Drosophila melanogaster: one gene and its partners. The protein of the gene in region 1 purifies or fractionates together with the protein of each later gene. This does not show direct contact. Each region holds a gene or a part of one and is shown in the gene's direction. Other genes may lie near its edges.

What was found.
Region 2: the proteins of Nedd4 (region 1) and SH3PX1 purify together in Drosophila melanogaster (affinity purification with western blotting; 2 studies listed by BioGRID, with this or other methods). This does not show direct contact.
Region 3: the proteins of Nedd4 (region 1) and Ndfip purify together in Drosophila melanogaster (affinity purification with western blotting; one study listed by BioGRID). This does not show direct contact.

Annotation. Positions count from the first base shown.
Region 1 is NT_037436.4:17,528,026-17,531,781, forward strand, and holds the start of Nedd4 (Nedd4), read left to right. Parts: upstream 1-2,055; 5' UTR 2,056-2,397; intron 2,398-2,783; 5' UTR 2,784-2,821; coding exon 2,822-3,010; intron 3,011-3,756. Other genes in the region: Edc3 (enhancer of decapping 3), read right to left, coding at 1-595, 884-1,443. UniProt on the Drosophila melanogaster protein: Essential E3 ubiquitin-protein ligase which accepts ubiquitin from an E2 ubiquitin-conjugating enzyme in the form of a thioester and then directly transfers the ubiquitin to targeted substrates.
Region 2 is NT_037436.4:9,712,121-9,715,876, reverse strand, and holds the start of SH3PX1 (SH3 and PX domain containing 1), read left to right. Parts: upstream 1-2,049; 5' UTR 2,050-2,191; coding exon 2,192-2,944; intron 2,945-3,724; coding exon 3,725-3,756. Other genes in the region: vsg (visgun), read right to left, coding at 1-133, 1,254-1,326.
Region 3 is NT_037436.4:17,652,593-17,656,348, reverse strand, and holds the start of Ndfip (Nedd4 family interacting protein), read left to right. Parts: upstream 1-2,068; 5' UTR 2,069-2,357; intron 2,358-3,756. Other genes in the region: CG7484 (uncharacterized protein), read right to left, coding at 753-1,131, 1,449-1,567, 1,623-1,661.

The DNA of each region.
Region 1 (3,756 bases):
CTCTGGCTTATGATGATGATTGTTCACAATGTGCCGCACCACATCTGGTTTTTGGGTCGTCGACTCGATGTCGTCCCAAATTGCCTGCTTGTCGAACAGCGCTAGATTGCCCTCAAAATCGAAATCCTCGTGGATCAGCGGATCGTCCGCCTCGCTGCCAAAAGTCAGTTGCACCTGTTGCTGCCGCATGCTGCTCTCCCTTCGCACCCTGTTCCGCTTGTTCTTCCCGTTGCCGTTGCCATTTCCATTGGTATAAGAACCATTTCCGGTGCCATTTCCATTGTTATTGGCATTGCCATTCCTTCTTACATTTCCATTTGTATTCCCATAGCTCGAGGCTGCCGTCTGCTTGTAAAATCCATCTCCGTTGCTGACGATATCTATGGGTTTGCTGCTGCCCAACGACAAACCAGTTGCCTCGCCGCTATCTCCGCTGCTGCTGCAGTAACTCTCCCGGGTGTTGCTCACGTAGGAGCCCAGTTTCACCTCGACCTTCGGCGGTATCATGTTGCCAAAAAAGGCGGCCACGCTGTTGGGAGTCGTTGATATCTGCGGCTGCTGCTGAGCGCTGGACGCACGGGATGTTTGTGGTGTTCTGGATGACGAAACAAATATAAAAGTTAGATGAAACCTATTTTAAATACGACGCTCAGTTGGCACAAGACCTATCTGAAACGACTGTTGCTTTTTATCAGTAATAAAGGTAATTTACTCATTTCGTATCTCAAGGTTGGTAAGTTTAAACATAAAGATGGCTTCAAAATGAAATGAAATAAACACAATCGTGCTGACTGCAAAAATCTTCATACTTTTTTTTTTTATAAAGAGCTAACAATTAATTTAAATTATTGGCATTGCACAATCGTTTAATGGGCCATATTACCTAAGGGTGCCATTTGAGCCGTTGGTCTCGATTAGCTTCAGCTGATGCATCTTATCGCTTAGCGCCGAATTGAAGTTGCCACGTGGGCCCGAAGAACTCGATGCTCCGCCAGCCGCTACCCGTCCATTGTCGTTGGCCCTTGACCGCGGCGTCGATGGCAGATCCTGTTCTCGTTCCTGCTCCTGGAACTGCTGTTTCTGTTGCTGCTGGAGTTGTAGCTGCTGCTGCTGCTGCTGGAGTTGGAGCTGCTGCTGCTTGCCCAGGATGTTGGAGAAGTGGGGCAGCTTGACGGGCGTGGGCTTGTTGACCACTGGCGGCGGCGCCGTGTGCCCATCCAGATCTTGCTTTGCGGGCTCGATGAGATCGATGCTGCGAATGTCCGTGCACTTGAGGACCACCTCGGCGTTCTGCTTTCGCAGCGGCACGCCATTGCGGAAAGCCCTCACAATGGTGATCTCCTCGGCAGAAATCTGCTTGATCAGGCCCTGGAAGACGCCCAGGACCTCGTCGCAGGCTATAGACACTGCACAGCCGATCCAGTCTTGATCCGTCGGACCCATGTAATCAGTTTTCGATACTCCCTTTGCGAATGCGACAACACGTTGGATCGGCTTGTTCTGCCCTGGCTAATGGTTGTTCGAAATGTTTGCTGGCCCGCGCAGAGCTGCTTGTTGTTTTCGTTTCTAATACGCAATTTCGCCACTAACTAACTACGCACCACGCACCTCTCTTCCTCTTCTTCCTGCTGCTGCACCGCCGTTGATTCTAGTGTTTTGTGGCTTAAAGTCGGGTGTTTTTGAATTATTTGGCTCTGCGGTCAAGGGGTTCGGTATTTTGTCTCTTTTAATCAATAAATGCACCAACCGTTGCAACACATTGACGCTAAAACTTATTGGATTTCTCGTTTCATTGGGATTTTCACTGCTTGCGTGTGGCCGTTCGTTGGTGTTCAGATAATACCGAACAATACCCAAACTAGCTGCGTGGCAAATTAGTTTACTTAATAAATTTATAATAATATACATATTTATAATAACTACAAATTTCATGCTTTACGGAAACTTCACCTTATTTTGATAAATATTTGGTTCAATAAAAGCCTGCGAGCCATTTTATGAATTTAACAAGTGCTTCCCTTAACTGTTAAGGCTTCTGGGTGCTGTGGTATGTTCTCAGTGCGCGTACACGGTCACTCTGGCAGTTTTGTTCTCGATTTTGTCGCCGTTTTGTGCATTTTTCCCGTCCGGTGTTTAAATTTTATTTAATACTGCGCGTGCGACATATATACAGGCACCTATAGCCGACCGATATCGGCGATTAAGGCATGTGCGCCGCCGAAGCGGTCAAAGTGATAATCGCTTGAATAGTGAGCAGTGTAGAATTTGCCGTGTGATAGAAGTACGTGATGATTTTCCGCAAATAGTGGATAAAGGCGAGCCCACACGCATACCACCGCAAAATATATACATAAATCGGGCGAAAATATAGTGGCCCGTGTTTGTGCGTGTGTAAACGTAAGTGGAAAACTTGGGCGAAACTTTATGCTAACCATAAATGGTCTACAAAGACATGGCTTCGCGCCTGGCTAATTATCAAGAAAATGTTTGGCTTTTGTGCTCTATCACCCACACCTCATTCACACAACACACACACTAGAAACACGCTTGCACGGGGGCAGGGCGGCAGACAGAGATGGCATCTAGCACAAGTACCGTTGTTCACTTTGTTTGCTGTCTTTGTTGTCTGTTCGCTTTTCTTTCCTTCGCTTCTGTACACCCTTCCCCCTCTTGTTACCTTATGGCAGCCTCCTCTTCTTCTTCTTCGTGTCATTTATCGCTTAATTTGCACTTCCGCTTTGCACATATTCACCCTCTCTCCTTCCGTCATTCTTTCATTGCAGAAGCTTCTCTAAAAGAAACAAACAACAACAACACAACAATGTCGGCACGTTCCAGCGGCTTGGTGGCCGCGGCGGCCCTTCCCGTCCCGTCGTCTTCTTCCTCGGTGGCCGGCGGCGACGTGCCACGCCCGCCGCCCCGCCGGCGAGCGGCCTCTGTTGCGGGACAACAGCAAACGCGCCAGGAATTTGGAAATGGTTACACTCCTCGCAGATCGTTGGCAGCAGTGGTAAGTTTACATAAGTGCAGGTGACGACGAAAAGAGAGAGCTTTACCTTGAAGGACAACTTAGGAACTCTTCTAACATCTTAGGAATTTTGTAGGAGCACCTTATGGTTACAACCTTATTTCACAACGCATCCAACTCTGATTGAAAAATTTCATTCCATTTTTGATAAAGCCAGTTAACTAATTATGGGTTATATAAACGCGTATGTATCAAATTAAGTTATCATAACACCAAATAGTGACCGTGGCACCTATATGTTTATCAATTTTTAATAGATAGTAAGGTATTACTTACTATGACATCTTATAAGATACTCTTATCAATTGTTTTGGTTTCGTTGCAAACTGACTAATCAATAAATGTATCTCATTTTAAAGGGCATACCGAAATGTTGTCTTATCAAAACTAAGCCAACCAATTCCTATAACCTTTTATAAGGAATTGCCCACAATGTATCCACCATTTTGTTGGTGTGAAGATTTGAAAAGTATTTATCAACGGGTGGTGCTGGGGGATTTGGTCGCCCTTATCAGTGCCTCCGCTGTATTTAGTGTTTCCATTTTTACGATGTTTTCACTACTAATCTAATCTGCAGATTGCCAAACAGCTGAGTCGTGTAGATGGGCCATGTAGATTTCACTCCCCTCATGGATGATAAAGTGGGATATATGTATGGTGGGAAAAGTAGGGGATCTACAATTCCTTCAGAAGCCGAAAAGCACGAAAAACTTACGAACTGTTCTTAT
Region 2 (3,756 bases), 7.8 Mb from region 1:
GTCGTGGTCTTTTCAGTTGTGGTGCTCGTGGTTGAGGTCGACGGTGGCGTCACAGTAGTGGTGGTGTCCGGCGGAGTGGTGGTGTTCTTGGATTCCTGGGTGGTGGTGTCCGCTGGAGCCGGTGTGGTCACTGCTAAGGCAAATAAAAAGAGTTTATAAATATTAGCTTATGATAAGTTCGTAAAACTATTTCACATCAGATAGACTCAAGTGTAGTAAATATTATAGTAATGAACCCAATGTGTGGTTTTTTTTAATCAACCCTTTTTGATACGTTCATATTTCTTATTTCAGAATGAATACATCGTAAAAAAATAATTTTAAGTAAGAACAGCGCCTATCATAGCTTCAAAAAAACAGGGCTTGTGTGCAGTAATCAGCAACGAATATTATAGATAAAAACTTATGCGTCACTCCAAAGTTAAAAGCAAATAAATTGGTAAGCATGATAAGTTCACAACGACTCTTATTGATCGATTTCCAATATTTCAAAAAGCACAACGAATACACATGTTTTGTAAGAATTGAAAATAAAAATAGTTCCATTGCACATGTAAATGATGTCAAAATTGTCAAACAAAATAGAAAAACGTAACAAAACAAATTGATTTGGTTCGGAAAATAAAGATTACTATATTCAAAATAGGCAGCATTTAGGTGATATTTATTTGTATGCAATAATGGAATTTAAGGAATGGAAATTTAAGAAAGCTGAAAAAGTAAACATTAAATTGTTTGTCAACAAAATATGGTCAAAATCTCTTTAAATCCTAAAATATGTACAAATATTTTCGTATGGTAATTAGGACGTGACGATTTAAATAAATGCTTGCGAACAAAATATGGTTACAGCTCGGTAAATACATATTTACCAAATGTCCACAAATATTAACGTATGGTAATGTGACAATTTACGGACTTTCGTAAATTCCAAGTTTCTTTTGGAAAGCTGTAGATTTGCAGTTCTTATGCGGAGAACATTCCCCCAAAGTCGGAGTAAGAGAAAATGGCCGGAGAATTGATATTCAATATAGGAATTGGCATTTAAAAAACCCCCACATCCACACACACGCACATTCATGCACACACACACCCACATGCCCGCACGGCGCACACACGCGAGGGGTTTGCGCACACGTACGCATGCACATGCAAGCGTGTGTGTGTGTGTGTCCGAGTGCATAATTGAGAAATGAGTGTTCGGCGTGTCTTCAATTCGATTTTAATTCGGTGTAATTTGATCAAAGACTCACCTTCTTCGCACAAATTCGCGGAGAAGAGGCCCACAAAGAGGCACAAGATTAGGAATTTCGCCTGCCGATTCATTGTGGTCGTTAAACGCTGAGTACTCGAACGACAAAGTCAGCAAATCTGCAAGGCAAAGAAAATACGTTTGCGAAGTGGTTGGGGATTAACAGATACCGCTGGAGTCAGTATTGCACAACTGGCGATGTCGCCGAGCTCCGATTTCGCTCACCCACAAATTAAAGCAAGGCGCAATTAAGGAATGAATAACACGACACGAAGACCAGATTCTTTTATGCCAACTCGATACTTCGATGCATCCCGATACATCGACAGCTGAGCCGTGCTCTGCAGCCCTGGCACTCGGCGCTTATCAGTAGGGGGAGACCGTAATGTAGTTGAAACGCCTCGCATTTGGTGCAATATAAAATTATGATCATAAATTTGTCCTTATATTTTACTTGATTTATTACTATAAAATTGTATACCCACCTAGCAATTTATTTGAAATATTTGTAGGTTAAATCTATATAAACATAAGTAATTTTTCACAGCTAAATCTTTCTTGATAACGCAATAACTCATTAATTTAATTTGATCGACTTAAATGTACCATTTATATTATTTTATTTTAGTGAGTATATAGTAGTAGTACAGTATAAATATGAAGTTTTTATAATTATTTATCAAATTAGAGAGTGCCTCTGTTCCAAGTGTAGAATTCAGGTGTGTTGGGGGAATACCCCTAATAAAATTGCTGTATCATCATTATATCTTGTTGCTGCAGAGCGAAGAAGACGTCAGTGTCAGTTTAATTCCGTAATCCAAGAAACGGTAACACTTCACACTTGGTGATTCAGAATTAGTAGATATTTCTTGTCTGTTTATGGCCCCTGTGAAGACAGGACTCGAATTAGCGTAAAGGAACGACCAGGAGAGCACCAAGATGACCTCGTACGTGCGTGCCATGTACGACTTTACCGGGGAGCCGGGCTCCTCGGAGCTCTCCATCGCGACTGGCGACGTGCTCTCGGTGACCCGGAGCGATGTGGGTGAAGGCTGGTGGGAGGGCAAGAATGCCCGTGGCCAGATTGGCCTCTTCCCGGCTGCGTACGTGGAGGTGATGTCGGCGGCCGAAGCCCAGAAGCTGAGCGCCAGTGGAGCGACGTCGGTGCCACAGGTTCCGGATCCCTTCGCCTCGCCCCCTTTGCCGCGTTACGATCAGACGGCGGATGATGATGGCAGCAACTGGGATGATGAGGACGATTGGAGCGACGACAATGACACGTACTCGGAAATTGGTCCAGGTGGCCAGAAGTCTGCGGGACAGTCGGCTCGCGCTGGCGGATTGTCGCATTCCACCAGTGACTACGATAACAAACACCTGCCCATCGCGCCCAACGATGATACCCAATCACTGGCCTCCGTGGCTGGTGGGACTGGTGCTGCTGGCACCGTCAAAAAGGGCATGTTCGCCAAAAGTTCCGATTCATATATACTCGGCTTGTCCAGCACCAAGGAGAAGATACCCGAATGCGAGATGGCCTACATTACACAGGTGGAGGACTCGATCTACCAGTGGACGCAGAACCATTCGCCCTACTCCGTTGTGGTGGCCAGTCCCAAAAAGGAGTCCAAATTCAAGGGGATGAAGACGTTCATTGCCTACCAACTGACGCCTAGCTTCAACAACATATCCGTAAGTTGGCCAACCCTGATATCGCCGTGATTAACAACACAATACGATAAAGCTCCGACCGTTGGCGCATGAGTGTGTAACTACGGGTGCAATATTTTGTTGATAATATGTGTCTGTGCTGTGTTCGCTACCCTCTGCCAAGGGTAATTTGGGCTGGTTCATGTGCTCACGAGCAGATGGAATGGAATAAAGAAAGACCAATCCTTTGTTTATCGAAACTCCGCACTAATTGCCGGCCAACATTTTCCAACTGAGTTGACCTTAAAAGTGACCCTTTTTTGCTGAGAAAATTTAAATGGAGATCATATCCATTTCTTTAATTGGTTTGTTTTATTAAGACTCTGAAAATTGGCTAAATTTATCTTTTTATTTGTTAAAGTTTTAATACTATTCAAAGCTATAGTTCATTTCTTATTAGCTACTTAAATAGTATTTTGATAATTTCGATCAACTTTATTCATTACAATAATGAGAAGCATAAATGCTCGACATTACTTTCGAACTGAAATCAAAGCTCTTTGTAAAGTTCTTTCAGTCCATTAAAATACACATACAAATAGGTAGAGCATTACAGAGTCGTAAAAGCACTTAAAATTCTTCTTTGTGGGGGCAATTCTGACCAACTGGTAGCCAGCGGCACTGCGATGATTGCTTGTGCTTGCGAACCGCCACGGGGAATGACTCAGCAACGAGCTCTGACCCCCCGAGCTCCGGGCTCCTCTTTGCGTGACCCAATCACAATTAATTGGTCATATCTAATCTGGGTTTCCCTTTCGTTAGGTGTCACGTCGCTACAAGCACTTCGACTGGCT
Region 3 (3,756 bases), 120 kb from region 1:
GTATCCGGATAAAAACAAGATTAAGAGAGCGGAAAGACGGCGATGTCAAGGCTGCGTCACAGATCGGAAATAGACATCAGCTACGATTTTGGCGGGCAGAAATATGCTGTTTGCCGTTTCAGTTACCACAATTACTCCAGCAGGCTGATCAAATATTGATCGACTTGAGGACCCCCACCATGTGAGCCCACTACGTCACTGCTGACGGCCACAAAGGGGGGGGGGGGGTGTGGTGTGGTGTGATGTCTTTGCGATAAGAATTTCGGCTACAATGCCGCGAATTTGTTGCCTCAGCCGGGAACTTTCCTTTGCCATCGATAACAAGATAACAAATAAAATGATTTAATTTATACTTATGAATCGAAAACTCCCACGGCGTCGCATTGCAGTAACTGGCTTGTCAGTTACTCTCAAACTGTGTCCACAGCTTTTCCGCGGTGGCGCGTAGAAAAGCTCACGCCACCTTGCAGTGGCTCTAAAAACTTTTAAAAACTAAATCTCTTTAGTTAGATTAGATCTCTCATATTACAAGCCAATTTTATGTATATCCCTGATCTTGATGTTTATATTTTTTAAATTCAGTGGCTTGACATCCCAGAAGTTTGGAGTACTAATCTCACGTCTACACATTTTTAGTTCTTGAACAGAATATATTTAACAAAATATAAATATTCAATGATTTTGAAAGAAAATGGTACGGTCTATAGTTTTGTTTCGGATTTTATTAATCTACAGTTTTGGGTATGCTTATTTTAGATCCTGTTGGTTCGCAGGTAATCTTCATCGTCATCTCCATCGGCATCCTCCACCACGCTGTACGAATTCTTGCCGGCACCATCCTTGGCCAGATGCGTTTCGAAGAACTCCTCGACAGTGTCTGTGTTCCACTTGGTTATGGACAACGTCTCCTGCACTTTGCCACTGGCATCTAGGAGCTTAACCACGGGATCCAGTCCTCTTACGTATTTGATCTGCAGGTTGGGGAACTTGGCAGGTCGGCCGCTTTGAATAAAGGCCTGAATCTGCGGATAGGCCCGGAATTTGCAGGTGCACACCTCCAGAATTGCCTTGGCATATGTCCGCTGTGCCGCCGGCTGCTGATCCAAAGTGCAGCATTGCTTACACTGAGGCCTGAAATGTTAAAAATGTTTTGGATGAATAAAAAAGAGCAATGGGCTCAAGCAGAAACTATAAAAAGTTAATATAATTTTTGTTATTAAAAACTGAAGGAAGAATCATATTTAGTCAGTGGTATGGAGGAGCTTACTAAGTCAAGCTAAGCATTTTTGGTTGGAATATTTAAAATGAGGTATGAAATTTAACCTGATCTAATTAGATTAACATATTAATTAAACAATTTTCAGGTCTTCTTATGGAATGATTATAGCATAGTTCATGGGTATCTTTACAACTCCAAAGCTAGATTAATTAAATGTTATTGAACCCACTTGATGGTATCCAATCCGAAATCATCCAGTTTTTCGCAACTGGAACACATTAACTGGGCCTTAATAAAACCCAACGCCCGGCAGTCGGCGGCCGTCAATTCGGCTTGAATTTGCTGGCACTGTAGGGTATAAAATATATATTAAAAACATGTCTTAGCTTCAGACATAACTTACACTTAAAGCCAGTAGAAGAAATATAGCACATTTATGCATTTTTGTGGCTAAATTCTAATTAAATTTACTACGTCCACGTCGTTGTTTACAAAATTTTCTTAGCTTAGTGATGAGTAGAAGGGAAAATAACATTATTTAGGCTTATCGATTATATTCGGGTTGCTTGTCTTTTCATCGTTTAGGGTATTCCGTATACTGTTTATGAATTAGACAATTAATCAAACTTTTGAACAGCTTTAATAAACTTATTATTATTATTTCTTGATATTTTTTCAGCAATTTGAAACTTTTGTCACTATAAAAGTGTACAAAATAATTTCAGGTTTTTATATTCAAGTACGCAAGTTTATTTTCCGATGTTAATAACTAATTTCATGTGATTCGATAGCTTATCACGCTTACATCCCTACAATCGATACGGACTGCCCAGCAGCTGGCCACCACTAGCTCAGAAATCGAAGATTATTCGTGGTGGTGCATTTGTTTTTTTCGCTTCGCTCGCGAAGTGAGCCCAGTTTTAAATTATTTAAATTGCGTATAGTGAAGCCACTTGAAAGCGAAACGCCTACTGTCGCAGTTCTGCCAAAAAACCAACAGTATTAGCTGTGTGCGTGTTTGGCAACAACAAGTCAACAAAATTCGAACAAAATCAATAAAACGGAAACGTGAGAGAGCGCTGCGCAAAAGAGAAAAGCGAACGCAATCGCAATCGACCAACGCATAGAAGAAAACAAGGTGAATAAATAGAACATGGCATAGAAAAGGCGAACTAGAATCAAATCGAATTAAAATCGGGTACAGAAATAGACGTGAAAAGAAAGGGCGAAGAAAGGGAAACAAATAACCGTTACAGGAGCACTCCTGGAGATTTAAGGCTCTCTCTCCCCCTCCTCAGCACTTTAGCCCCAGTTGTGCGTTTGTGTGTGTACATGTGTTTATGTTTTGTTTAGCACATTAATAATCTTAATTCTGCTAGATTTCGCCACTCAGGTGCTAAACGCTAAAAAAAAAAGTGCACACTCCGATAAGTCTACCCCTGTGTCGGTGTACTTGTTTATTTAATTCATATTTACTCAAGTAAATTAATTCATTTGCCCTTGTACAATAACAACAAGCGCCGTTTGCTTGGAAACTCGTTCTCGCAGTCGACCGCCTCCCCTCTTCGCTCCTAATCTTATTCTTTCTCTATTCCACTGCAATACCACTGCAGCTGTCGGTGCCTGTGTGTTTTTCATTCAATCCAGGAAATTGCCCCTTGAGAGACCTTCCATTCAGACAGCTCCATCTGCATCTTCTTCAGCTTCTTCCGCTTGCATCTTCATCCTCTCTCTTGTGCTCCCGGTCCCGTTTAACTGGTTTACTTTATGCTTTATTCCACTGATGCCTCCTCTATCGCCCTCTCCCTTGCGCACACCTGCTGCTTGGCAGCTGTCCACGCGCTCAAATTTCTTATCACCGAACAAACTCCGGCTGAAACCCAAAACCTGGCCCAAACTGCGTTGTTACTTTTCCACGGCAATTCCCTAATTTCCAACGCCTTTTGTCACGGCCCTGTTGCTTTCTCCCTCTCGAGAGCTCTAACTCCCTCTCCAATCCTATTTTTACATACACGCATACGCAGTAAAACTTGGCTATGACAAACCACATATTATTCTATAGATACCAAATACTGTTTTTTTAATACTGTATATTGTTAGATACAAAAACACTTTTGGAATTACAAATCCAGATGGAATTATTAAAAAAAAATATGTATATATTTTGCACAAAATTTCTCATCTGTTTCAAAGGTAATTCCATATGTGTTGACATTTAGAAATGTAAAAGCTTTTCTATTTATTTTAAAGATTCAAAAATTATTTTTAGCCGAATGCATACGCATTAAAAGCAAATCGATTTATTCGGTTTAAACATCTATTGTTTTTCAATGGAAAAACCAGTGTATTTTCCAGAGAACCTTACCTAAGTTTTTATATGTATATATTACATTGAAAATAATTATATGCCAGCTTTGAAGCATGTTAACGATAAGTGTACTTGAGCCCGATTGTTAGTGAATTCTTAAAAAATAAGAATGAGCAAAGTCGCTTTACATTGGGATTGATTGTGAAATCCTCCAAATCTTTGTGTGTCA